Linked DNA regions of Drosophila melanogaster. The protein of the gene in region 3 purifies or fractionates together with the protein of the main gene of each other region. This does not show direct contact. Each region holds a gene or a part of one and is shown on either strand. Other genes may lie near its edges.

Region 1 (3,380 bases), on a different chromosome or scaffold from region 3:
TGTGGGCGTGAATCTGGGCCGGAACAAGACCACCATGAGCCCGATAGCGGATTATGTACAGGGTGTTCGGGTTTTCGGGCCCGTAGCAGACTACCTGGTCATTAATGTGAGCAGTCCGAACACCAAGGGCCTGCGCGATATGCAGAGCAAGGAGAAGCTAAGAGAGCTCCTGGAACAGGTCAACGACACGAAATCCTCCCTGGATAAGAACAAGAATGTGCCTATACTCTTGAAACTTTCGCCGGATCTATCTTTGGACGACATGAAGGACATCGTGTGGGTAATCAAGCGCAAGAAGAGCCGCGTGGATGGCCTGATCGTTTCAAACACCACGGTGTCGCGGGAAAACATCGAAAAGAACAAGCTGGCCGAGGAAACTGGCGGATTAAGTGGTCCTCCACTCAAGGCCCGCTCCACAGAGATGATCGCCCAGATGTACCAGCTCACCGATGGAAAGATTCCCATCATAGGCGTCGGCGGAGTGGCTTCCGGCTATGATGCATACGAAAAGATCGAAGCTGGAGCTTCCTACGTCCAAATCTACACGGCTTTAGTGTACGAGGGACCCGCTCTTGTGGAAGACATTAAGGCGGAGCTGTCGGCGCTGATCACACGGCTGGGTCACACTAATGTTGCGGACGTGGTGGGCACCAACAGCAAGTTCTACTTGCCCAAATGAATCAAAGATGCCACGATTTGAAGCAAGTGCTGCATTCATTTGTGTAAAACTAAGCTGTTAACAAACATTTCTCATGCTTTTCCTTTGGTCTAACCAATAAATCATTAAATTCTTCATTGATTAACTCTGAGGACTTTCATTCGCCCGCTGGACTGTGAGCACTCGTCCATCGAGGAAATGGGTGTTCTGGTTGCTGGCGCTGTTGAAGGCATCCCGTTGGCTGAAAACCACAAAGCCATAGTGCTTGGACAGGCCCAGTTGCCGGTCAAAGACCACCTCCGCGTTGGCCACGTGCCCGTACTTTGAGAAGTAGGTCCGCAGTTCCTTGCTACCTATCGTCCATGGCAGGTTGCCGACGAACAATTTGTAGCTGCTGCGAACAAATCCGCTGGACATGATTATGTATGTTTTAATTTTCTGGTTTTAAATCACTGGTGATTGTGCATTGATTTTAAGGTGGCGCAGATTGGTTTATGTAGGCGTCGACGTCACTTATTGACGAAATGTAACTTTTCAACTAGTAAAAACTTTAACAAAGCTGGGATTAATTTGTGAAAAATAGAAACTCAAATCTCTTGGTTTTAAAGAAATAATTATTTATAGGTGACATTTTTATATTCGTTTTATTACCCACCTCACTACTTTTGCACCTTGCAGGACTGCTTATCGCAAGCTAGTGCGCATACTATCGATGGCTATCGATTGGCCGCAAATAATCAATGTTTCATCTCTAGCTCTTTTAAGTTTTGGTTGCTATTTATGTAAATGTTTAGCGAAATTGCGGAAAAAGTGCATATCAGTGCGCTCGATTGCTGAAAAAGTAGTTGCGTTGCAAACGGCGAAGAGCCCATCAAAGGCGGCCCAGTAACCAGGCGATCGGAGGGCCAAAGGAGCATCAAGTCGACGTGTTGTATTCGGGGCGCGGCGCCTGCAGAAAACGGACAAAACATCCTTAGGACAGCCACACAAAGGCGCATCGATACTTTCAGCCACCACACACAATGGCCGAACGACCGAAAAATTTGTTTGCAAGTGAGTTACCCCTTTGGTCTCGAACCGCCCACGCAGGTCATACACATGCAGCCGAAGAGGACCACATACTCGCTGGGTGACGCATAGTTTGGAAATCTGGTGCAGCGGCGATAAGCCATCTATGAAGCCTCCTAAATTCTCCCATTTCCCACACATTCCAGCCGGATCCAGTCGCTCCCGCAATCCCCCGGATCAGCTAAGCCTGAATAATCTTAGCATACGCCATCCGCCCTCGTCCACGTCGTCCACTTCTTCGGGATCCACCTCCTCGGGCTCAAGTTCCTCATCACAGCACAACCATGTGACCCGCTGTTTTGGTGCCCAGCAGCCACAGCAAACCCCGCCGGTGGCCAGCAGTCAAGTGCCACCGGTGCCGGCAGCATCGAGCAGCAGCGCTGCCGATCGTCACCGGGAGCGAATTCGCCAGCAGGCCTGTGGCAAGCTACAGTTTGGTGAGGGCGGCGCTAATACACACACATTTACTTCAGACGATCTCGAGGATGAGGGCGAAATTGGACGCGGTGCATTTGGGGCAGTCAACAAGATGACCTTTAAGAAATTGGACAAGGTGATGGCCGTCAAGCGCATTCGATCCACCGTAGACGAGAAGGAACAGAAGCAGCTGCTCATGGATCTCGAGGTGGTCATGAAGTCCAACGAGTGCATTTACATTGTTCAGTTCTATGGGGCGCTTTTCAAGGAGGGTGACTGCTGGATTTGTATGGAGCTGATGGACACCTCTTTGGACAAGTTTTACAAGTACATCTACGAAAAGCAGCAGCGCCACATTCCAGAGTCTATACTGGCTAAGATAACAGTGGCCACGGTCAATGCGCTGAACTATTTGAAGGAGGAGCTAAAGATTATCCATCGGGATGTGAAACCGAGCAACATTCTGTTGCACCGTCGCGGAGACATAAAGCTGTGCGATTTTGGTATTTCGGGTCAGCTGGTCGACTCTATTGCCAAGACCAAGGATGCGGGCTGCAGGCCCTACATGGCGGTAATGATTGTCATTTGATTTCACAACATTTTTACCGCAATTGTATGCATTTGTGCAGCCGGAGCGCATTGATCCAGAACGTGCCAAGGGCTACGATGTACGAAGCGATGTTTGGTCATTGGGCATCACATTAATGGAGGTGGCGACTGGTAATTTCCCCTATCGTAAATGGGACTCTGTTTTCGAGCAGTTGTGCCAGGTAAACATAAAACATTTTAATAGGATAGTTTTTCTTTTAAAATGAGATACAAATATCGTTCGTCTTGTTCCCTTTCGTCATTAGGAATAATCTAATAGAGATAAGCATTGACTAATGACTCATTTTATTTGCTGATTGTCTTATCGTATTGTCTTTCATATAGTAAATTATCATAATATCTGAAGCTAATTTTCTTTGGCTAATGACTTTTTCATAATATTAACATTCAAGGTTGTGCAAGGCGAACCGCCGCGACTTTTGACATCCTATAACGGCATGGAGTTTTCCAAAGAGTTTGTGGACTTTGTCAATACTTGGTAAGCACCAGTAAAGCCTAGAAAACTTAATAATAGTAACTAATAAAGCATTATTATCGTTTTAGCCTAATTAAAAAGGAGAGCGATCGACCCAAGTATAGCCGTCTGCTGGAGATGCCCTTCATACGTCGTGGCGAGACGAGCCACACT
Region 2 (5,255 bases), on a different chromosome or scaffold from region 3:
GGGCAGGTGATATATGGAGGCAACGTGTCTTGCCTCCCAATATCATGGTCTAGATTTTTGGTCATGCTCGTCTAAATAAAACCAGACAGTGAGATTTTTGAACGTACGCTGCTAAGTTGTCTACAAAAGTTGATAGCTACATAGCTGAGCTTAAGACAAGAGAAAATTCAACTAAAAAGGAAGTAGAACAGATATAGAGACGATAGAGAGAGAGAGGAGGGTAGGGGGTTGTGTGATTTATCAGGGAGGAGGCCAAATCTTTTATTCGAAGAGGAGAGAACTCTTTTCAAACTTGCAATTTGAACGATTTTAGGGCGCTGTAGAGATTCGTTTGCGTAAATCAAGATTACAACTCATAGGAGACGGGACATGCATTACATAAGTTACAGAAAGATCAAGTAGAGAGAGACAGCGAGAGAGTGAGACAGATAGCGTTGCCCATAGTTCGAATTCTTAATAGCAAAGGCAGAGAGGTAAAGTAAGCATACGTTAAAAACTAAATGGAATTGCAGAATTTCTCATGGTCGGATCTAAAAGCGCCAAATCGGTTGTGATCAAATCGGTAATTTTTCGCTCTTGCTGTGGAGAATTTCAAATATTTGAATTTTGCTTTGGCCGCATAACTGTTCCTACTTCATCCGATGTGTTATAACACGATAGTAAATATGTGGATACAATACGTTAAATATGTATATATATAGGATATTTGTATAGGTCTTAAGAGTTAGCAATACGTAAAAACATTGAAGCGGGGATCAAACTGATTTGGTGGTCAGGGTCGGATGGGGTGGGGTTTTCATTGGGGAGACTGGGTTTTCAGGTGGGCTGGGCTGGGCTGGACTGGTGGTTGGTGGTATGGATGATCTGTGGTTGGCTTAAATACCTGTCGCACTGCATTGACGGCCGCTTCGCGATTTGTGAATGTGACAAATGCATAACCACGATTTGTGCCCGTCATCGGGTCCATCATGAGTCGTAGGTCCCAGATTATGCCGCAGTTCTCGAATAGCGGAATCAGTTCGTCCTCGTACATGTCCTTGGGTATCTTGCCGCAGAAAACCTCGCAACCGTTGCCTGGCACATTTCCCTCCCAATGCGGCGGCGGTCCGCCGTATTTACGCTGACCTGAGTACGGTATAAGTAATAGTATTAGATAAAAGTTTCTCCAGTACTTGAAAATGTTTCTCACCTGTCGTCACATCTAATGTGTAGCCGGTGCGCTCGAGGATTTTCTTGATCTTGTCCTCGTCGGGACCTTTGACAGTTGCGGGCGCGGCCACGCCCTGTTGGCTGGCTCGACTCTTCTGTCGGTACGTCTTCATCACGCCGCATAGGTAGGCGGACTTGTTTGACACGTGCTCCAGGTTCGATTCCAGGAACTGTCCCAACACATTCAAGGCACCATCGACGGGAAACTCCTTGAGCGCGTCCAGGGCGCGCTCGTCCAGCTCGGCGTGAGCCAACTTGCCGGTTTTGTAGATCTCATCCAGTTTGCCGGCGACCTAGGAGCATATGTTGCATGTGGCAAATGTTGGTAATAGTTGGCATGTGGTGTTGGGTTCTCAAAGCACTCACCTTCTTGTCCAGACCGTATTCCAGCAGCTTGGGATAATCCTCTGTACGCTCGCCATCGCCACGGTCATCGGCTTTCTGGTTAATGTCATCCAACAGTTCGCCATTACCTTCCGCCATTTCTGCAAGTGCAACGATAATAAAATGTTATAAATATATATTGAGTATTTATACATAAATATTAATATTCTTGAAACATACATTCAAGTGAGCACCCACAAATTGTGCGACCTATAAAATCACCTTGTAGAGTTCAACGAACGCAAAATAGCCACAAACGGCGAGCGCTTGGTAAAAAATGGGTCGCGAGAATGTGCGAAATACGAGAAATACGAAAAATTGGCAACTTACGCACCGTCGCACGCACTCGCGGAATGAGATAAACGGGGAGTGCGATAAAGCAGGGAGCATGGGAGAGAGAGGAGACAACAAAGCGAGCAACAAAGTTCATTGACTCCAAACAAATGCGAAACGCACAAATTTGCGATCCAGAAGAGCGCGCATCCGAGCACCGAAAAGTGCGTGAGAAAGGCAAGAGAAGGAGAAAGGCAAACGAGAAGAGAAAGAGGGAGCCGCATGAAAACGTATTGGCCAAAATGTAAACAAACGAAAAGAGGCGCGATTTGCGAATTGTGCGTGACGTGTTGCGTATACGCGATGTGTTCGGCCACGCTCACAAGAGCGTGACGTATTAGTTGCCCTGGTAACAGCTGATGAATCTAGTGGGTTCACTTTTTGCCGTGTTTGAAGCTACTGGACTTTAGACTTGGATTAGTATTAGTAGTTTTATTGACTAAAAGTAGTAGTATACGTGATTTGCTATGTTAAATCAGCCTAATACATTTATTTATGATCTGTTCCGTGGCTAAATTCAGTTGAGCTGCGGAAACAAGAGCTGTTCGCTTTCGTTGCAATTGCAGCCGCAGCTGCACACAGGCATTTATCATAAATGAATATTTATGGCACACTCATAATGAAAATGCAAATGTTCCACAGTTGTCAAGTGGCAAACGCTCACCTATACAGGCCGCAGCATAGAAAGCTACCTTAGCAGCCACACTATCAGCAAATGCTATTTTGATTCGCGTGTACACGTATATTCGTATGTATATTATATATATGTACGATGTGTATGTACATACATACATATAGAAAGTTGTGTGTGTTTGACGTTCAAACAAAAACGAAGCAAGCTGCAAAAATAAAAACGAGGGACCCCAACTAGCCGAGAGCGATAATTGCGTAACATGTGCAAAAAAAAAAAAACAAAAACAAAAAAAAACAGCAGCAATATCAGCTAGCTCTATCGTTCAAGAATGGGAGAGCCAAACCAGCGATAGAGCGCGACCCACAAAAATTATGGGCAAACCCGAACATTTCTAAAATCTTTTCTGTTTGTTGCTGCTCTCTCCACTGGCATTCTGCGAATTTCGCATTAATTCTCCGGCATTCGATTCGTTTTCGCTGACATTGAAATACTTTGCGATTGATATCGGGGGCAATTGGGTGTTTTGCAGCGGCGTGGAATACTCACTGCTGCAACTGGGAATTGGGCTGGGGGTCCTGAATGAAGACGGTGTTTTGAGGATCGTGCGGCTCAGAGCCTCGCCGCCCCCTTCATCCTTCTGCACTTTGGAGGCTTCCATCTGGGAAAGCATCGCGTAATGCAACAATTTAACAATTTTCAATTTCCTTAGGCGACTTGGAATTTCGATTGCAAATGTGAATGAATTTGTTTTCGCTTTTTCTTATTTTTGAAGTAAAAATCAATAGTTCCGAAACGATTCGAGAGACGAGAAAAATTTTCACAACTGAATAGAAACAAAAAACATTACGGAATAACTTTTGACAATCGCCCAGCAGGGCCAACTACGCATCGATATTTAGAAAGGGTTACCGAACCGAACCCACTTTGTTGAGGTGGCAATCCTGAAAATGGTGTGGTGCAAGTATTAAGACCACAAATTTATGACAACTGCAGTGGGGCCATCAGAATGCCATGTGCGCTATGACAACTATAACAATAAGCGGAACCAGTCAACCAGTAACAACAAAAACATATCCCATTATCTAGGCCCCTCCAACACATAAATACTATGTATTTATATGCATGTATGTATATCTAGATTGTTGGGCGCGAAAACGCAGCGAGCTGTAAGTGAAAAGTGTTGGCGACAACCGCAGGGAAGCCCACAAAAGGGCAAACACCGGGGGAGCGTCATGAAGTTGCGCTGGCGATGCGAGAAAGGCGGGAAAATCAGGAAAAGCGCTTTATCGGCGCACAGCGAGTAAATGAATAATAAACACATGGGCAATGGATATTGAGCCAGTCGAAAGGAGTAGACAACAATGCAGGAAATTCCATTAGGATTGCAGTGAAATATCGATAAAATGGTATTCCTTATACGCTGAGTTGCCATGCTAATGCTTCTATGGCATATGGAAGTGCATACTGAACAAAAAAAAAAACAGGATGACTGGCCACATACCACAGCCAATTTAAGTCTTTATTCTTGGGTCTCCCGAACTCAAAGCTATTCAGGTGACGGCTCCTGGCCTAAAACCGCTTTCAATTTGCAACACTTGCCGGACTGTGTGTGTGCTTTTTTTTTCCAGCCCGAGTCATCATTTTTTATGCATGTTTGTTATGGCAACAGGGTAGTCGCCGCTTGTTTGCCCCAGCGGTGGCAACTCTGTCCCATGCATATACTCGTACAGAAAAAATAGAAGCACGGCTAAAATGGGGGAAAAACAAAGAAACGTTTGCATGTTAAAGAACATTCCTTTTTGCATGCTCGTTTTGTTTGCCAGAGCCGCTTGGCAACTACCTCAATAAATTTGATGTTGATGCCGGCGATATGCGCAAACATACACAGCCAGCCATACATACACACATGCATATCCTGGCATATCCTGCCTTCTTGCACTTGTGTCGGTTAGTTACACCCTCGGTTGTATAAAAAAAAAAAAAAAAAAAACAGAAAAAGTCACCCTCTAGCTGCTAGCAGGGGTGATTCGCCCCGGATTCCACCTCTCCCCCGCCATTCCGGACTCGGATTCGGATTCGGCCTCCTTTGCCAAGAGATAATGCCTGGTGTAAGGTTAGTAAATCAGCGATATGACAAATCGCCGCAAACGCAGGCGGAGCACTTAATGCGGCGCTTTTTCAATGGGAGACAAAGGAGAATCAAAAATTGCTGATAAAGCCAAATAAATCGTTTTGCCACATTTGTTCGTCACTCGCGTCCGTCTGCCAGACAATACGTCGCCGCCGGCAGCAGTCTGGTCTAGAATTACAAGATCTCCCCAATGGCAAATTGGCAACTCCGCCCCTGTTTCTGTCAACCGAAGCCAGACTGACTGTAGACTGCAGAAACTATGAGTATCTTTAGGATGGTGGCGGCTGGCTATAGTCCAGGGGTTGCTCGCCGTGGCATTGAGGAAGTGTTAAAGTTTGTGCTTTCGCAATTTGAATTTCAAGAAGCCCTAGCCATTTAAATGTTATTGCCATGGACAACGGCGACAACAATGGGGCTCTCTATAGCACAACCTTGCTGGGGGTTATTGATTTTCAGAACCCTTCGGGCCCAGCTGAGCCGCAACTACAACTCCGCCGGCCAGGCCAGTTAAGCCGATTTAAGGCACAAAAATAACTCCAGACTAGCCGAAGTGAAAAGTGCAGA
Region 3 (5,352 bases):
AGGATTCGGTGGCTTGCTTTCCGAGAGTGGCAGGGGATAAACACACGCGCGACCAGGACAACAACAAAGCGCTGAGGTCCTTGTAGGAGCTCACTGCAGCTGCAACGCGGCGCAAGAGTGGGAGGAGGAATTCCGCAACGTGCGCAGGGCCTGGCAACCATATGGTGGCTTCTAAGGGTGGTACTTATGGTGGTGGCACAAGCCTCAAGCGACTACTTCGCCTTCCGGATCAGTTGTCAACTGCATAGCGGCCAGGACACACATCTAGTCAGCGGAGTAAATCAGCGTCAGTGAAAAAAGCCAAGGTGAGTGCTCGCCTATCAGTTGTGTCAAGAATCAGGCCTGAGACATCCATATCATTCAGATGATACCGCACAGCGAGAATCCTTTTTCGATCGAGGATACTTACGTCGAGGAGCCACAGTTCTCTGAGCAGTGCGGCAACAGTCGTTGTGGACAGCCCCAAACTGCGTATGAGGTCTATCAGAGAATCCTGCTAAGATTACAAGCCCAGGAACATACACGCTCCACAGAAGCCAATGAATATGAGATAAGGAAGAAGTTCTGGATAGCCAGCTTCACTGGGAGGCCCTTGCAATATCAATGTTAGTTGAACAACACAAAAGAAAACCATATCCCTGATAGAAAATATATCCAAAGATAGACAGACATTTGTTTTAAGCCTTTATTAACTTTATAGCCTTACTTTAGACATTAACAGTTAAACTTAAGCTACTTACCCATCAGATTTAAAATAAAATAATACTTTGAAAAAACCTGAAATATTTTAGTTATGCAAACTCTTTATATGTTTATTCAATGTTTTTTCTTTTTCATTTATAAATTTATAATAGTTTATTAACTTATTTTTAGACGCACTTTAAGGTCTTGATGTGATCTTCATTTCGTTTTTTTTTTTTTTTTTTTTTTTTTTGATTAAACAATGTGATAAGTTCGCACGGTTTTATTTCATTAGATATAAACCTCTTGATTCTACTGCTAGTGAGACAATTGTTTAATTACGTAATGCATATATTCATGGTAAATGAGGGGTCGAGTCATTTAAAAGAATAGGATAGTTAGATCTGATTGCAGAGAATTTATTAAATTCATTCAATGCGTATCATTTTATTACATTCATAGAAAATTACGAACTCGGGAAATCATAATTTAAACATAATAGGAATTATTTGACTTATTATCTGTTGAAATGGTCCAGAAAAGGCATGCCAACAGTTTAACATATTTATGGATATACAAATTTAAGATTAATATTGTTTGTGGGAATTGATAGCGCAAGTGCGCGTTTTATAAATATTAATGTTTATTAATTGATAGCATCATTTTGAATGCTGCTTTCTTCTTGATTAAAGTATTTTCAATGTGCTCCCAGCATGGATTTTATAACGTAAGCATTGTCCTTTGTTTTCATTTATAGCGGTGTGCGACGAAATCAACCGGAGCTCTATTATTTATATTTTTTAAGTATTGTATACGGATTGGGCTTATAGGACTTGATGGGCGGTTCGCGCATACGTTTCATGTCAGTCGGATATGGACGTTTATATGCCGCTGCGTTTGTCGGTATTATTGATGGACGTGCTATAAAATTGGTTGATTATTATTTGTAGTATTTTATGCGTGTATGTAATTACTATAAAGGAGTGAATCGTTGCATAATATTAATCATTCCAGTGTATTATATAGTTTGATCTGAGAGCTTGCTCAATCACAGTTATTGGTTTTGATAGTATGATCTAATCTAATCTATAACCCAAAGTTCCTGTCAAAGGTGCATCCCAAAAAACTGGTGCATTCAGGGGAAAAATCGATCTTATGTCATAGACCCCGGCACTACCCAAATAAAGAATGCATGCTTGGGATTAACTTACGTTTGCTGTACTCATAGCCCGTAGGCGGACGCTTGGGGGGCATACGATGTTCATACTCATAGGCCACCTCCTCCACATCGTCGACTCTATAAAAATGAAAATGTTAATTGCTGGGTTAACAGATGTTGGCTAGGATTTAAGGCACTACTATGACGCGAGGACTCTCGGTTCCATTACTCCTGGTGGGGTCATTAAATAATACAAAATTATACTTTACAAGTAACTTACTCGGGCGGATTTTCCGCAGCTCTCTTAATCAGGTTGATGTATTTGGGAGCCCCATTGCTGTTGCCTCCAAACTTCTTGTCGAAGACAGATCTGCAAAATAATATATTTTTATTCTCATGCCCAAAGGCTGCATAGGGTGTAAGATTACCTGTAGGCCTCCAGATTCGGTCCGTGAATGTTTTTGGCTGACTCGGGATCCATTTCCATCAGCTCGCGCAGCTGTTCGTGTGAAACCTCGTCGTTCTTGTCTGGAATAAGATACTTACGGATCTCGGCCAGAGCGTAGGCTATGCGGGCATAGCACTCCGCCGGAGTGGCCACCGTGCTGACCTCCAAAAATAGGTCCTTCTGAAGATGAGCATATCTCGGGTCGCCTGTGCTGCGCAGCTGCTCTTCTTTGTTACGATCGCGGATCGAACTGCGACCCTTAATGGCAATCTTGCACTGGGTCTCCTCCTGAAGGCGACGCAGCGAATTGCCCTTGGGCCCCAGGATCTTGCCAGTGAAGTTGAACTGCGCAAGGGTACGGATTTATTTTTCGAACGGAGAGGACAGCTAATTGTATAAACCCACCTTGGGATACTGCTTTACGGGCACGAAGACCTTTTGGGTAATCTTCATCGGCTTCTGCTTGTACACGTCTGCGTAGAACTCTTTTCCGGGAATACGACCAGTGCAGTAGACACGGTCCACAGCTGCAATATTGGGATTAGTACCATTAAAATACCCTGTAAAAGGGCCAAATTGATTTTACCCTCGTCGATTAGCAGTGCGCAAAGTGGAAAGTCCGCGGACAATCGCTGGCGCTCCTCGTCCAAATCGGCGAGAAACTTTTGGGCCACCTCGTTAAGACGCGGCTGGTGATCGTGGGTGGGTGGCTGTTTCTCAGTAAACTCGCTTGGGGTTTCCATTTTTATCATAACAATCTTTACAGAAAATTACAATTAAAAATGGTGTAGACTGAAAAACAGTATGTACACCAATGAACTAAAATAATGGCAGAGCTGCCAAGCGTGTGAAGTTTTCGGGCTGCCAACTTTTTTAATTCAATAGTGATTGTTTAAATGTCGATTTTTTCCACTGTGTACAAAATGTCGTGTTTGAAACACAGAAGTAGTACAATTACTATAGATTATTTTAAAAAGTTAAATCTGTTAGTAAGGAGCTTCGCCGAGAAGATAGCGGAGCTGCCACCATTTCGATTTCATACATGGTGCAATATCGATATTTTTGGCGGCTGCCTTGATACTCATCTCTAAAAATATGGTATTTGGATTGCATTCGCTTGGTTTGTTTTCAATTTTTATAGTGCGCAATGGCCAGCGAGGAACTATTTGAGGCTGAATTCTCGGAAGAACAGGACTTGGAGCATCAGCAGGCCATGGAGACTGAGGAGGCGGAGCTAGCGGAAACAGAAGAGCCTTTGGAAATCACCGAGGAATCGCCGGATAATCCTGAGGCAGAATCTACAACAGAACAATTGACAGAAAAACCAGGTAAGTTAGATGCACTTAGATAGAATTTCTCCTATATGGCTCCTTTCCTTCCAGTGACGAATGGCAACAAGGCCCCTGCTGATAACGAAGCCAAGATGACACAACTGCCGTTGGCCAGGATACGGAACATAATGAAACTAGATCCGGATCTGCATATGGCCAACAATGAGGCCGTGTTCATAGTGGCGAAGGCAGTGGAACTATTCATAGCCTCGTTGTCACGGGAATCATATACCTACACGGCGCAGTCCAAAAAGAAAACCATACAAAAGAGGGACGTGGATATGGCCATTTCTGCTGTGGACAGTTTGCTATTCCTTGATGGAGCCATGAACTTTTGAACACCCCCACAAATGAAACTGGATTTGTCGATTATACTTTTATACTTTATTTAGGGATATTCAGCGGCAAACAAATTCAGTTCTAAACGTCCTTATGGTTTTATGTTAAAAATAATATTTAAGTTATAAAACAATTGTTGATTCGCAAAGAAAAAAAAACAAAAAAGAAATCATAATTATAAACGACAACGTTTAACGTTTCACAATACTCTTTGCTATTCGGAATTTGTAACGAAGCCGGCATTTGGTTAATTTATTTAACTGCTGAATAGTGTGGTTTGTTGTTTGTTAATCATACTCTGTCCGCAGGCGATACTTACTTTGTCGTTGGGCACATACATTTGTAGTTTATATTTTGCTTTTTATGTTGGTTTTATCTCCATTATCTTATGAAACAATATTTTCAAGCTTAGTCTAAAATTATGCTTTGATAAATTAATTGTTTTGGGGGGGTTTTCGCTTGTGTTTAGTTCTCTTCTCGTATTGGCTTTAACTAGTATTAGGTTGATTGAAGTATGTCTTTTGTTTTTACAATCTTTTTGAGGATAAAATTTGTTGCATTATTGGTTTCTTGTTTTAATTTTAAACACAATTTGAATATCGGACAACAGTTGCAATAAAAATTTACGTTTTTTATTTGATTTTCGTTTATATATTATATTTAATAGGTGTGAATAGTTGGATTGTTGACTTCAAACATTTTGATATTTCGTTGGAATATATTTTAATCTTTACGCTTAACATTGTTTAGTTGTGGTTGTTGTTGTTGTTGTAGTTGTTGTTGAGGTTGGTTTCTTGGGGTTTTGGAAAATCGATGGGTTAACGTATTTTCGGATATGGAGCCGAGCGATATCGCACGCTTTCACGAGATCGGGATCCAGTTTCGTAGTGAGCAGATGAATGTGATCCCGAGCCCGAGGTGGTTGGTCGATATGACGATGATGAACGACCGTTGCTTGGTTTTGCTATTTTGAAAAGAATTTTATTTGTTGTTTAGACTTTAAATTGTTTCTTGTTCTGTCTCTGTGGTGCTGTTTTTTGGTTTTTGGTTTTTCTTTTGCTTAGCATATATACATTGTAAAAAAAAGAAAAATATATTGTTTAACCGGTTTTGAATGCACTACACCCTACGAAACGTTATTGTTTTGAGTAAAATGCATTTCGTTTCATCACGTTTCAAAAAAAGTTGTTCCACAAACCTTTCAGCTTGGATTTTATAGTTTAAGCATGTTCAAATATTTTTGGGTTTCTTGCCATGAAGTTTTATGGTTTTGTTTTCAAAGTGTGAATTTCAGTAATTTGATTGTTTGATCGATTGTTTTAATATTTTGGCTCTGGCTTCTTGTGAGTATGTTAGTAGTCGTCCAATTAATGAAGATGATTTACTGGTTGCTG
Region 4 (6,335 bases), on a different chromosome or scaffold from region 3:
ACGACGCGGGCGAACAGCTCGCGCTCCGCACCCGCATCCGGGCCAAGCTGATCTAGCTTCGGCAGCTTATCTATAAATTTGCGCGCCGCGTATATCTTGGCGTAGTTCTGCAGCACGCCCTTAAAGAAGCGATACCGCTCATTGCCGACGAATATGCCGGCCTCCATCAGAGTCTGCTCCCGCAGCACGTGCAACAGCTGTTCGGAAACGCGCTCGATGGCCGAGTGCGGCTGCACCCCGCTGCCGAGCAGCTCCATCACGATCTGCTTGGCCTCGCCATCGCCCTCTGCGCCGTCGCCGAGGTGATTGAGCAGGCTGGCAATTTGCTGGCGGCTGGTCAGCGCCTTCAGCTTGGCTGGATCTCCCTCGATTGGCAAGAGCTTTACAGCGTGGGCCGACGTCGAGGAAGCGGAACCGGCGTCGCCCTGAGCGCCGCTCTCGAGTTTCTCTGGCTCCGGTTTCGGCCTGCGGTCCTGCTTTTTGTCCTTCAGCTGATCCTGTTGATCCTTTAGCTGCGGAAGGACCCGCGTTCGGAGTAGCGGCGAGACGGTGGCCACCGACATGAATACCTCTATTGCGCCCTGCTCATGAATCTGGTTGCCCATCTGGGCCTTCTGCTCATCGGAGACCGGACGTCGGGACAGCCGCTTCATGGTTGGATAGGGAGGGGTTGCAACTTGCACAGATTGAACGCGAATAAAAACTAAAATTTAGATTGGGAGTGGGTTTCGGAGAAGCTGTTAGGAGACTGTTGTATGCTACGAGTGAAAACTTTGTGACCGTTTCGGAGCACAGATTCCAGATGACAATAGGTTTCAAAAGCCAGGCCTACTAGACGTGGCACCAGGACACCCAGAAGCTATAAAAGATCTTTCAGACTTGCAGGTATACCGTCTCGTATTTACTGCACTAATTTATGTGTGTACATACATACCAAGTGTATAACTAAGGATAAGAGCGACGATCTATCTATCTCGTCGCCCGGCTATCTAACGTGGGCGCGCAGGGCGATTGTACTGGGAATTTCAACCTGGTTCACCTGCAGCAGCTGCACAAGGTTGCGAAGGAACTCATGCGACACCTTCAGCTCGTCGTCGGCCTCCAAGCGCTCAAAGAGATCCAACGCCGCCTCGTAGTCGTTGCTACGGCAGAACTGGGCCAACAGGAGGTCGTAGATCTTCTGCTCGTCTATGGTCCGCTGGACACCCCTCACTCCGCGCGCCAGCCGCAGGAGCGTCCGCACAGCGCCCTCCTGTCCCAAGTGCTCGCAATTCTTCACGAGGAGCTCGTGGTTGATGCGGAACTCTGGGTTGATGATCAGCCGGCGCAGCTGTGTCTCCTTTCCGGATTCGGCCAGGGCGAGCAGCAGAGCGCTGTTCATATTGGCCGCTCCGTGGATGCGACTCACAGTCGCAGTAACCACCGCTAGGTGCTGCTGCGCGGACTCGGCCGTGACGCCGGGAAAACGGGTCAGCTCCTGCTCGTCCCCGTTGCCCAGTCGCACCAGCAGGGACAAGAGCTCGAACTGCAGAGGCGTGTGCTTGTGAGTGTTAGCCAGTCGCTGAAACTCGGCCACCGCAGCGTCCAAGTTGCCCTTCAACAGCCACTCGCGGACCACTGGTCCCAGTAGGGCATTTTGCGATTGACAGTAGCCCAGACCCCTGAGGAAGTCCAACCACTCGCGAGTCTGGTTAAGTTGTTTGGAGCTCTCGCCACCTGCATGTGAAGAGGCGGCCAGCTGGCCCACGTTGGTCAGCAATTGCCATACGTTCTTCATCACATAGTCGCCACCGACAACCTTATGCTGCTCCGCGCGTCGCTGGAGCAGCTGCTTTGCGGCCTCCAGCTGCTGGCCTTGGACCAGGAGGGCGGCATAGTCGATCACTTTGTGCTCGTCAATCTGAAAGGCTTAAGAGAGAACGGTATGCGGATTAATGCAGTTCACATCTAGTAGTAAGTTGTTAGGTACCTGGATACATGCTGCTCAGTCGCTCCAAGCTCTCCTGGGCGCGCGGCAAGTCGCGCAGCTTGATGTGTAGGTCGAATATGGAGGCCATCATGCCTGCGCTTTCCTGAACCTTCAGAACTTGGCACTTGGCCAACAGCTGCTGTGCGCGCTCCAAGCGCCCACTGCGCACCGAGAGCTGCAGCAAGCGACGCAACACGCCTCGCGGGTTCAGCTGCTTGGACTCCAGCTCGACTAGGTGGCACTCGAGCTCGTCTATGCTCATGTCGCGCGGGTGCTTGATGAAGCCTCCGTGGAGCGAGACCGTGTCAGCTGGCAGGGCGAGCTGTGGGTTTTTCATCTTCTGCAGCGTTTTGGCCAGATCCTGGATGAGGTCAACGTCATCAGTGGCGTGCCGGACCACGGAGAGTAGAGCTTCGGAGGCAGCGGGTGAGATTTGTAGCTCTAGGCGTCTCAGTTCGTGCAGAAAACGTCGCAACGAGGTGGCATCCTGGCGCAGACGCGTCTGAGGTCCAGTCATTTGCAGCAGCAAGGAGCCCACAAAATCTTCTCCCCGTTTGAGTGCCTTCTGCTGCAGGGCTTGGATCACTTTGGCAAATACCTCGAAACGCTTCGTGGCACGGGCATTGACCGCCAGCGAAGAAAGTGGTTGGAGCAGCGTGGCCAGGTCCAAGCGTGTCGGATACCGATCAAGCAAGTCCAGCACCTCGGACATCTGATGCTGCTGCAGCAAGTGGCTCACAACCGGGCACAGGGTCTGGGAAGGCTTGACCCCCGCCGATTCAAGTGCCTTCACGGCCTCCAAGGGCTGCACCAGGGTTTGGCGCAGGTGGGGAAACAGGTAGTGCCGCAACGTTTCCTCGTCGCACTCAACGCGCAGGCGCCGCATTTCAGAAACCAGGCGTAGCATGCCGCTTTCGCCCTCCCGCCGGTAATGGTGCAAGATCAGGGGCCAGAAGTAATGCGGACGAAGTTCCTCGCCGGCTGCAGATAGATCCTCCAGGCAGCGTAGCGCGGATGATGGCTGACGGCGAAGGGCCAACTCCGCCACCAAATGCAGGGCGCGGACGTTCTGGTTCCGCTGCACTAGTTGACCGGCGAACTGGATTGTTTGGTCCAACGGAACTTGGGCGCGGAAGAACTCCTGCAGCAGAAGTGCACCGTACTCATCCACGTTCTGATTCTGCAACTCGAACTTCGGAGCGGGCAACGCACCTACGAGCTGTATGACGACTTCGGTGCGTCCTTGGTGCACCAGCTGAATGCACAGGCTTCTGATGGCGGGCGGCAGGTCGATACCTGTTAGAAACTCGCGGGGCAGTTCCTTGACAAGCAGTTGGATTAGATCCGTGTCGACATCCTTGCTGGCGAGCAGACCCCGCAGCATCTGGAGCAGCTGAGGGGCGGTGAATCCGTGCTCCACCTGCAGCAGCTCCTTGGCCTGTGCCAACTGACCGTTTTCCAGCAGAGCCTCGAACCAAATGGCCTGAGTGCTGCTGCCTTGCTGTATTCCTGCGGCCCGCATGCTGGCTAGGACGGACTCCGCCCCGGGCAGATCACCGCTGCGGGCGTGGCCCAAAAGCAGGGCGTGAAAGTTGTGCTCCGTGAGGGCGAGGCTGCGCTCGCGCATCTCCGACAAAATCTCGGTGGCCATGCGCATGTTTCCGGCGGCGCCGGCCACGTCCAAAAGAGCGCCGTACAAGGTGGAATCGGCTGCTCCATGGTAGACGGCAATCTCCGCCAGCAACGAGCGATAGTCAGTCAGAGGCAAACGGTTCTGGCGCAGCACCTGGAGCTTCGTGTGGTAATGTGCCAGCGTGGGCTGGCCCAACTTGATCAGTTGAGCCCAGAGTCCCTTGAAGAGCTGAAGACGCTCCTGGCTGCTCTGAGCAGGAAGCAGTTCGGGCACACAGGACCCTAGAAGGAAGTGCACCTCTTCGATGCCGACTCCTAGCGGCGACGCAGACTCCTGCAGGAGCTCCAGCAGGCGCTGGCAGTGCTCAAAGTTGATCAGATCGTGCTGCCGGTAGTACGCCTCCAGCTGTGTCCACGCATCCGCCACGCTGGCTTTCGGTTTTTCAGAGGAGGAGGCGGGGCGCCGGCTTCTTCGCTCCACCGCACTGAGGACGCCACCCGTTCCCAGGGATCGCATCTGGAGCAGCGAGAACGGCACCGCTGGCGCCGCAGGCTTCGTTGCATAACGGAATGCCAGGCTGGCGGAGGAAGCGCTGCGTCCTGGCAGATGGCCCAAGCGCTGCCTGCAGAGCCACACGTTCCGCAACAGTCGTGCTCGCTGCATTTTGCCCAAGTTAATTAATCTTCCCCAAAATTACGAGATTTTACTTTCGCAGTTTTGCGGCGAGCAACAAAAAAAAAACAACACGCGCCGGCAATCAGCTGTGCCTTCCAGTCGAAAGATATCGAAAACAGTGCTGCCCATCTGTATATGCATACCCGTTTCCGTTGCAGATTTTGATTTAAAGTTTAAGTTAAGTCATGGAGCTCCAATGAAAGGAATGAAAAGAAATACCATGGGGACATGTCATTATTTTATAATCGCTATTTATTTACTTAATCGATTCAACGGATCTGGAAGCGCAACCCTACAGCGAGGATCTGGCCAAGCGGCGTCGCTGCGCAGCCAGCGGAGTGCCCTCCTCGCGCAATTCGGCCAAGAGGGAGTCCTGCCAGGGACGAAACAGGAGGCGCTTTGTCGCCAACAGGGAGGCGGAAGGCAAGCGCAAGTATTGGTCGACGCGGTGCCAAAACTCCTGCGGCTCTCGCACCACACTGGCCACAAGGCCACACTGGAGGGCAATGCTGGAGCTCGCTTGATCGCCCAGACGAAGCAGCCAGTGGACGTGTGGCACAGTCCAGCCGGGACCCACCTTGGTGCAGGGATCCAGGTGCGAGAAAGCGGGCACAAAGGCAGATAACTCCGTTGCGAAGACCAGATCGCACAGGCTGCACACGCTCAGGCCCAGACCGACGCACTGCCTCTCCACAAAAGCCACTAGGAGTTTGCGGTGCACAAGCAGCTTCTTGGCCAGCGAGCGCATCACAAAATTGGCCGCCTTCTCATGGATGTACTGCTCCTCGGCATCACCACTGCCCACAGCTTCTTCGTGGGAAGCGGTACGCCTACTCCTATTCTCCAGACCCTGTTTGAGAGCCAACGGTTCCATCTCACCGCCACATGCTGCAGAAAACTCGCCCGAGAGCACGACCACCTTAACGGCGGCGTCTGCACTCGCCAGGTCCAGGGCGCGCATCAGCTCGTAGAGGGTTCGGCGTTGCCAGCGCCGCTGGAAGCGTATGTGGAGCAGCCCAGAACGCTGTTCGACGACCAGCTCCCTGAAGTGCTTGCAGCTCTCGTTTGTGGCCATCGCTGAAGACTGCGTGATAGAGACTGTGGCCAAGTGATAGAAGACAAGAGCCGTAAGCATCTGCGCTTATCACGCGGTCAAAGTGCAGGCTTCTTTTCTCCGCGCAACTGCGCTCCTCCGCATCTCGAAATTACCTTCCATTCACGCATCTCTTAAACTCAATTGGGGGCGCCATTCCAACAACAGTTTGCTTTCATTGGTGTGTATGCTAAATATATGCTATCTTTGTGTTAATCGTTGTGTCCAGGCTGGGCCATCAGATGGCTTATCTATGTTTCTCTCAATCTGCTAGTTGCGCAATATAACTCTTTCAGTCTGAGATTGTGGGCCTTCAAACTCTCGAAGTCGGGGGGACTTTAATATATATGTATATACGTAGGTTTAATGCTTAAAATGTACAAGTGCCTCTTAGACACACCCTTCGGAATAAATAACTAATGGGCTACAATCAGTGCTCGTCCAGGTGCGAGAACTTTTTGCGCAGCTTCTCGCGCCTCTCCTTCTTCACATGACGCCAGGGCTTGGCCGCCGGATCATTGCCGGCTACTAGGGACCCGTCGTTGGCCAGGCGCACGTTAGGGAAGTTAGTGCGTCCTTTGACGTGGGCGTGCGTAGGCTTGTCGGAGAAGAATTGGTTGTCTAGCTCCTTGGACGTGCTTTTGTTGATCTGCGGAAAACGCGATCAGTTAGCAAAGGAATCACGTCTAGTGCAAAGGGCAAATCTCACCCGCATGGCTCGCTGCTGTTGGCCGGGCAGCTGTGATTCCTCGATGACCCTGCGCTGGCGTTCGGGAAAGGTGTGATACTCGGTCTGCGGTACAGAGGGCGGGCTCATGGCGTAGAGCAGTCTGCCATTGACGTAGTCTTTAAGCACATACCTGGCGGAACGCGCCTGATCCGGCTGCCCGTTGGAGGTCATAAAACCGCGATTGTCTGGAAAAGAGCGAGAAAGAGTGCGTTGTGAAATACTGAAATGCGTGCGC

What was found.
Region 1: the proteins of qkr58E-3 (region 3) and SLIRP2 purify together in Drosophila melanogaster (affinity purification with mass spectrometry, with the first as the bait; one large-scale study listed by BioGRID). This does not show direct contact.
Region 2: the proteins of qkr58E-3 (region 3) and Syp purify together in Drosophila melanogaster (affinity purification with mass spectrometry, with the first as the bait; one large-scale study listed by BioGRID). This does not show direct contact.
Region 4: the proteins of qkr58E-3 (region 3) and Lrpprc2 purify together in Drosophila melanogaster (affinity purification with mass spectrometry, with the first as the bait; one large-scale study listed by BioGRID). This does not show direct contact.

What each region holds. Positions count from the first base shown.
Region 1 is NT_033777.3:8,648,812-8,652,191, reverse strand, and holds SLIRP2 (SRA stem-loop interacting RNA binding protein 2), read right to left. Parts: upstream 1,109-3,380; 5' UTR 1,076-1,108; coding exon 800-1,075; 3' UTR 699-799; downstream 1-698. Other genes in the region: Dhod (dihydroorotate dehydrogenase), read left to right, coding at 1-679; Mkk4 (MAP kinase kinase 4), read left to right, coding at 1,681-1,711, 1,873-2,714, 2,773-2,913, 3,145-3,230, 3,296-3,380.
Region 2 is NT_033777.3:20,788,184-20,793,438, reverse strand, and holds the start of Syp (syncrip), read right to left. Parts: upstream 3,454-5,255; 5' UTR 3,231-3,453; coding exon 3,107-3,230; intron 1,695-3,106; coding exon 1,576-1,694; intron 1,503-1,575; coding exon 1,190-1,502; intron 1,126-1,189; coding exon 884-1,125; intron 1-883.
Region 3 is NT_033778.4:22,408,419-22,413,770, forward strand, and holds qkr58E-3 (quaking related 58E-3), read right to left. Parts: upstream 3,128-5,352; 5' UTR 3,032-3,127; coding exon 2,875-3,031; intron 2,816-2,874; coding exon 2,694-2,815; intron 2,634-2,693; coding exon 2,269-2,633; intron 2,211-2,268; coding exon 2,121-2,210; intron 1,979-2,120; coding exon 1,893-1,978; intron 1,603-1,892; coding exon 1,469-1,602; 3' UTR 790-1,468; downstream 1-789. Other genes in the region: VepD (Ventrally-expressed protein D), read left to right, coding at 365-610; PolE4 (DNA polymerase epsilon subunit 4), read left to right, coding at 3,436-3,616, 3,671-3,957; qkr58E-1 (quaking related 58E-1), read right to left, coding at 4,777-4,922.
Region 4 is NC_004354.4:1,456,294-1,462,628, forward strand, and holds Lrpprc2 (Leucine-rich pentatricopeptide repeat containing 2), read right to left. Parts: upstream 4,325-6,335; 5' UTR 4,266-4,324; coding exon 1,970-4,265; intron 1,909-1,969; coding exon 986-1,908; 3' UTR 882-985; downstream 1-881. Other genes in the region: CG14785 (uncharacterized protein), read right to left, coding at 1-653; CG14787 (uncharacterized protein), read right to left, coding at 4,570-5,352; Ns3 (nucleostemin 3), read right to left, coding at 5,801-6,019, 6,080-6,285.